Bombyx mori: one gene and its partner. The protein of the gene in region 1 purifies or fractionates together with the protein of each later gene. This does not show direct contact. Links are inferred from orthologs where the notes say so. Each region holds a gene or a part of one and is shown on either strand. Other genes may lie near its edges. The genes, in order: sec1 family domain-containing protein 2 and syntaxin-18.

The links.
Region 2: the proteins of sec1 family domain-containing protein 2 (region 1) and syntaxin-18 purify together in Homo sapiens (co-immunoprecipitation; 3 studies listed by BioGRID and IntAct, counting the BioPlex papers as one, with this or other methods). This does not show direct contact. The link is inferred for Bombyx mori from reciprocal best matches to the Homo sapiens genes SCFD2 and STX18.

What each region holds. Positions count from the first base shown.
Region 1 is NC_085114.1:11,519,968-11,523,802, forward strand, and holds part of sec1 family domain-containing protein 2, read left to right. Parts: intron 1-1,351; coding exon 1,352-1,578; intron 1,579-2,248; coding exon 2,249-2,418; intron 2,419-2,785; coding exon 2,786-3,069; intron 3,070-3,653; coding exon 3,654-3,815; intron 3,816-3,835. UniProt on the Homo sapiens protein: May be involved in protein transport.
Region 2 is NC_085127.1:13,549,915-13,553,849, reverse strand, and holds syntaxin-18, read left to right. Parts: upstream 1-1,657; 5' UTR 1,658-1,797; coding exon 1,798-2,574; intron 2,575-3,209; coding exon 3,210-3,398; 3' UTR 3,399-3,416; downstream 3,417-3,935. UniProt on the Homo sapiens protein: Syntaxin that may be involved in targeting and fusion of Golgi-derived retrograde transport vesicles with the ER.

The DNA of each region.
Region 1 (3,835 bases):
AAATACCTGCCGCCATCTTAAGTCAAATATTTTGCTTTATATGAAATTTATATCACATATAAATGTTTAGATTTTATTTAGTAATTGTGATGCAAGACTAAACATATCTTAGGTGGATAATTAGTAAAAAGGATGCACAGTGCACCTTGAGAATAACTTTTAGATGAGGTGACAAGCAAAATGTCACGCTTATGCAATGTCATGTTACAATGAGTGAGTGAATAAGAGAAAGATTATTATCGAAAATAAGATGTGATGATGTAAACAAGCAGACAGAAATTGTAGTTAGCAGTAATACTTTTAGTATTCTTTTGCTCTAAATAGACAGAGGAGATCATGGCAAACTGTCTATTATATAATGCTGGAGCTTGCAGACATCATAATGAGAGTCCTACCTTGAAACATGGGGTTCAAGTTTCATTGTCTAGCATAAACATTGTTCAAAACGGAGATCTTGTTTGCGATACCTGCGAGTTTAGTTTGTGGCCCTTAATATGTGCTAATGTGTGCTCCTGTAGTACATTTAATCTTAGTTGATGATGACTTTGTTTTTTTTTTTTATTGCTTAGATGTGTGGACGAGCTCACAGCCCACCTGGGGTTAAGTGGTTACTGGAGCCCATAGACATCTACAACGTAAATGCGCCACCCACCTTGAGATATAAGTTCTAAGGTCTTAGTATAGTTACAACGACTGCCCCACCCTTCGAACCGAAACGCATTACTGCTTCACGGCGGAAATAGGCGGGGTGGTGGTACCTACCCGTGCGGACTCCCAAGAGGTCCTACCACCAGTGAAAAAACTAACAATAATTGTATATCAGTATTACTATTAACATTGGAACCTCTGGGTCTGCGGAGGGACTTTGGATGCCTCTGTATTTTGTACCGTGTGTTCCATGGGGAGTGCTCTGAGGAATTTTTTGAGATGATCCCCTCATATCCTTTTTATCGGGAGGTGCGATCCCGTCATCGGAGCAGAGTTCATCCATATTATCTGGAACCGCTGCGTTCATCGACAGTGCGTTTCCAAAGGTCTTTTTTTGCCAAATACCATCCGGCTATGGAATGAGCTCTGCTCCACGGTGTTTCCCGAGCGCTATGACAGTTCCTTCTTCAAAAGAGGCTTGTGGAGAGTATTAAGCGGTTGGCAGCAGCTTGACTCTGCCCCTGGCATTGCTGAAGTCCATAGGCGACGGTACCCACTCACCATCAGGTGGGACGTAAGCACGTATTACTACGATGGGCAATAAAAAAAAACATTAATATGGATAATCCAAAGTACATTATTAAATGTTACGTATATTAAATGATAATAAATGTGTTTTTATACCATCGATATATTATTTTAGAATCACCCATCCAGATGACCTACAACTAAGCCCGGGCTGTCTCTACCACGCGAACGATGATATATGCACACAAACCTTTGAACACATGCTAAACAAGTCTCAAAAGGAAGTGATGTTTGATTTATACAATAAATTGTCAAAGTTGGACGTACAGCGGTCACCGAGTCCCAAGACTCTGCTCAGGGTTACTCCACAGAGCGTCGACAAGATCGTTACGGCGGCTAAAGGTAATTTTCATTTTATATGTTAGGATATACAAAGAAAACGTGTTAAAAAATAATAGTTTAAAAAAACTAACAAAATACGCTTTTATAGAAAATCCAACTATAAAAGAGAAAAATAATTTTAATAAATTTGATTTAAAAATAGTGTAAGAAAAAATGATTTTATTGTAAAAAAGCGTATTTTGTTAGTTTTTTTAAACTATTATTTATTTTTCATTTTTTAGTTGAATAATATTTTTTTTCAATTTTTTGTTTATCAATATTTTTTTAGTATTGAATTATCATCGGTCCTTAATAAGTAAACCAAATTTCGAGTTAATCCGACGTTTTCAAGGTGTTCAAAATCATGTTCCGTTCAGATTCCGTTACAGACTGGTGGTAGGACCTCTTGTGAGTCCGCACGGGTAGGTACCACCACCCTGCCTTCTTCTGCCGTGAAGCAGTAATGCGTTTCGGTTTGAAGGGTGGGGCAGTCGTTGTAACTATACTAAGACCTTAGAACTTATATCTCAAGGTGGGTGGCGCATTTACATTGTAAATGTCTATGGGCTCCAGTAACCACTTAACCCCAGGTGGGCTGTGAGCTCGTCCAACCAACTAAGCAATAAAAAAAAAGGCATACACACGTCTGAAGCTAATAAAAGCGTATTAAAAATTATAAAACTCATTACAGGGAATTATGACGTAATAAGCAATCATCTAGGCATACTACAGCTGGCATTAGCCGTCGTACAAACGTTGAAGTCGCCGAGACGAGCTCAATTGGAACTCCTGGCGAGCTTAGAGAAACAGGTCCTTCAGAATTTGGGTGCCAGCCGAGACTCCACTAGTGTTTTGCAACAGGTGCGTTGTTAGTACTTACTTCAAACGGGCAGCTGAGTTGATGGTTTTCCAGGTGCCATAAGGTTCGCAGAGCATAGATACTACTATATAAAGCTCATAATTTTAGCTTGAAGATTCAATAATAACAATTTAAGTAGGTCTACAAATAATGACTGTTTAGTAATTTTTTACAAACCTGTACTACAGTATAGTTTTGTAAACTGAAAAGGAAACTATTCAGTACTAGTAGATAAGTTAAGTGTTAACCGATTTTTGGTAGCTATTGTGAAGTTTGAATAAAAATCATTAACTAAAAGAATTCTGGGAACAGACACAAATAAGTTTTGAAAGTTTTTATTTATTTTACCTTCTTTCAAAATATTTTCAGATGAGTACATTAATAAAATCCCGTAAAGAACGCAATTTGCCTTTGGATAATCTGCTCGCGTTAATCATTCACATATACTCTCTCGGCGGTACTGAAGTCACATTCTCAAAAACTCATGAACAGGATCTAATTGAGGCTCTCAGTGTTGCCATGTTCGAAGATCACAAAAGCTTATTTCCTCAAGTTGAAGGGCATATAGTAACACCGGAGGAATGTGATGAGATTTCTCAAAAAACATTGAAGCGACTAAAGGAAATAGCATTGATGAGGAAAAATTTGCAGAAGTATGTTTTTTTTTTAATATTCTTTCAATATGCAAACATTTGTTTAATAGTTGTTTTTTTTTCACTCATTGTATTAGAAGAAAATCTTCTGGGTCAGTTTCTACAAAATAAAGCAGGCACATATTAAATCTTAATAAAAAAAAAACAGCAATGCATTTAGATTTGTTAAGCAAACCCATAGATGTGTCTCTTCAAACTGTAATGCATGAAAATTTCCGACAGAAATGGAAATGTTAATAATTAAAACTACTTTCGAGGTTTACTTAACCTTTACTAGCGACCCGCCCTCGCTTTGCTTCGGAAACTGTAATTTATTATTGATTTCTCCACTATTTAATGGATGTTATTATACATATAAATCTTCCTCTTCAATCACTCTATCTATTAAAAAAAACCGTATCAAAATCCGTTGCGTAGTTTCAAAGATTTAAGCATACATAGGGACAGACAGATATAGGGACAGAGAAAGCGACTTTGTTTTATACTGTGTAGTGATTAGAAAGCATAGTGTTACCTATTCATCCGACCTCATCATATAGTTAACCACTTGTATTCTAAATACAATTACGTTTCTAAATACACAGATACAACTCGTTAATAAAGACAAGCGAGACAGGAATCGGGCACGAATACCGCGGCCTGTTACTGCAGCTAGTCGATGACCTCGTGGACACGGATAGACCAGAACTAACAGACCTGCGACACAGAAATGAGGGTATCAAAGATTTGCTGAGAAGCGGCTTGAAGTGAGTATAGTTTTAATGTA
Region 2 (3,935 bases), on another chromosome or scaffold:
ACTTTTTTGTATTCTTTTAGAGTTATTGGATTCTCAACTTTTGAGCCGATCACTTAGTTTAAGTGATTATCTATGGATCATTTCACCACTTGTTTTTCCTACCTTAGCTGATTGTCGAGAGAGACCATGTCAGCGTCACCAGGCTAGCTCACCTAAGCTCACGGGGCTCAAACCTGAAGACGTTGCTAACACGAACCCTGGCAAGAGCCGTGCTTCGCAGAATCTACCACGGGATCGAAAACGCGACCCACTGAGAAGATCCGGCGAGAAACTCAGTGGGCTGTGTCTGTGGGTTAATTTACTCGCCGAGCCCTTCGTCGCGAGCGTCGGGTTCACCAAGAATGATGACCGGTGCTTGGGTTACTTAAAAGCACCGTTAGTGGATCTTTTTTTTTTATTGCCTTTGTATATATATCTTTTAAATCTCTGTCTTCAATGGGTTGATGTTGGATGGTTAAATTTGAGGTGATTGGGTTCTGTAGGTGATGGAGGGCTATTTAAAAACACACTGCTTCATTATAATTATATTGCAGATAGTTTGAACACCATTTTAAAATTATTATCTTTATATTTTTATAAAACTTCTTACATGTTTCTTTGACCGTGTCTAGATTAGAAGTATTGACTTTTTCTTACGAGAATACAATCATCTGTTTTTTAAACGTTTAAAATAATTCTAATATTCGAAATCTGTAATCATGCGTCAAGTGCTGCCTGCCATTACATTTATATTCAAACTCCAACAGTTGAACTGAATTAAATTCAATTCACCCAACTGAACTGAGAACTGTCTAAGCATCTTCATGCTTAGACAGTTCTCTAACAGACCTAAATTTGATCGTGTCTGCTGCACCACGCTCTGAGCGAAGCTCTCATAGCTGATATGTCATACATTATAACACAAATGTGAAACCTAATAAAAAAAAGAAACAAAAAAGTTAAAAATTGTGTATTTTTTCTAAACTTTGAAACCGAGTTTTAAAAAAAAGCAAGTGTTCAAATATCAGGCATGTACCTTATCTATTCTCGCCACAGTGAGCAAAAAAGTGCCTTAACATAGAAATAAAAAAATATATTTAAAAAATCATAACTCGAAAACTATTAAAAATCGCGGAACGTACATGGGGGTGGTTCGGATAGCCCTAGTGATGTTCTACCTCTGGACTTCGGCTTGACACTATTTTTTAGGGCACCCTGTATAAGCGACAGAAGCTTTATAGAGTGGTGTAACATTTATTTCTGTCTCTCTTCCGTCTCCATTCGATCTGAAATGCTTTCGGCTACTGTAAATTTACGAGCAAAAGACTTCAGATCAGATTGTGTATAATAATTTTTTTAAGGGATTTTATGACCTGATAACTTTCTTCGGATGTACATACTGACTTTTTATTTTTTCACATAAAATTATACGACTAACTAATTAATGCTAGGCAACAACTATTCTTCTTAATAAACTTATGATGGTTAGATGGTTGGATGGCAAGAAGACCAGTTCTAACATGAAGAAACACTAAATAGACAAAATAAAACAAATCACACAACTTCACTCCACGTGTTCCCGCCAAAAAGTCCATGTAGCCATCACAGATTAAAATATTTATTACTATTAAAATATTTATTACTACTTAAAGCCATGCTTACTTTGCCTTTTCAATTGGATAATTTTAAAAAGAGAATTTGGTTAGTGTCTACTCTGTGAGGACATTATTGATTTGTCAATTCAATTTGTCAAAAACGAGTAAAACTTACGTGTTATTGAAGGAAAAAACATTTAAAACATAAACAAATCCTCTTAAAATGGATATAACACCATTATTTAAGGCTTGCATAAAAACTGTTAAAACTCGTAACAAGGCTTTCGGCATACACAGTCCGATTAGCGAAGATAAGCAACGCATATTGAGGGTGAAATCAAAAAATGCTTTCATGGCAACAGCTAAGGATATTTGTTCACAAATTACAAAGCTTAGGGACTTTTTATTGGAACACCGCGATAAATATTTAAGCTTCTTCAATAATGTTACTGGAGACGATATGTCTGATGAAGAGCGCGACCAAATAGACACCGGTGCGCAACGTATCATGAACACATGCTCACACCTGCTAAAAGAGTTCAGGAATGATAATCGAAGAACTACAGTGACCCCACAAACTAGGGAATATATGGACTCAGTCGTAGATTTAATTGATGCTTATTTAAAAGCTGTTTGTAAAGTGCATAGTGAATTGAAAGCAATGAGAGTTAAGCGAGCTTTAGATATGAGAAAATTGTCTAGACTTGAGCTACCAGCGACCAAATCTAGTATTCCTAATCCGTTTACACTAGATAAGGTAATAGAAAAAGAGAATGAGACAGAAGATGAAAAAGAAAATACAAAAACAAAATTAGACTTATCAGAGAATGAGATGGCAATTATGTCTGATGAAGGAGAGTTGACTTCAGAAGAGTTGCAAATGTTTGAGTCGGAGAATGTACAGCTGTTAAATGAACTAAACAGTATGACGGAAGAAGTTAAACAAATTGAAAGCAAAGTACTACACATTGCAGAACTTCAAGAAATATTTACTGAAAAGGTAAAAGGTTAAAATTGAATAAATACATAAGCCATTTAAAAAAAAAAACAGATTACAAGAAAAGAATATCTGCCACCAGAGAGGATGAATGTTGTTTATTATAGTCTGTGTATTATATCTTTATAAAATTGCACATACTGGTACATACATATCATAACTATCTTGATCTTAAAATATTCATATTTGGATGTTCTTTCATACGTAAACTATTGGATGTAAATAAATTTTTCAAATCCATGATACTTTAATTGATTTATTTAGATTCAAATTGATATTACTGTTTGTAAAAGTATAATTAACAGTAGCGGTTAAGAATATCTGCCACCAGAGAGGATGAATGTTGTTTATTATAGTCTGTGTATTATATCTTTATAAAATTGCACATACTGGTACATACATATCATAACTATCTTGATCTTAAAATATTCATATTTGGATGTTCTTTCATACGTAAACTATTGGATGTAAATAAATTTTTCAAATCCATGATACTTTAATTGATTTATTTAGATTCAAATTGATATTACTGTTTGTAAAAGTATAATTAACAGTAGCGGTAGGCAGGTAGCTTTTAATAATGAGATATACAAACAGTTTGTCTGACATAAAATGTAAAAAGTGTAAATATGTTTCAGGTTTTACAACAAGAACAAGACATAGATAGAATATCGAATACAGTTGTCGGGGCAACTGAAAACGTTAAGGATGCCAATGAACAGATTAAGCAAGCTATACAAAGAAACGCAGGCCTAAGAGTATATGTTCTGTTCTTCTTACTGGTCATGTCGTTCAGTTTGCTGTTCCTAGATTGGTATAATGATTAAATTTAGTAGTTACTGGTGGTTTTGTGTTTCATTTTCTAAATAATGATAATTTTACAAAAAAAAGGAACAGTTTTGATGATAATAAAATGATCTTAATTGAAATTTTGGAATCAATGATGTTAATATTTTCGCTTTAAATAAACACGTTTTATCAGAGGCTTCTTATGTTTTTTTATGTGAATACGCAAATATTTCACTATCGGTTATATAAAATATACACTATTATTGCTAGAGTTTCGATCTATACTTTAGCCAAACATTTTTTTAGTTGTTTAAAATACAACTATACATATACTAACTAACTATTATACTTATGCTACTAACTTTAACTTATATGAATCTTAGTTGATAACATGAGAAAATGCTGTTAATTAACGTTGTACCATCTATATTATTTTAAAAATACCACTATTTTATTAATTTAGTTACAAATATAACTTCGGTTTTTTACCAGTCGACTAACTTGGCTGTATGTGCTATTTTCTCTTGGACTATCTATTTAAACGTCAAAGTCCAAACTGTCAAGTTCCAACCCCG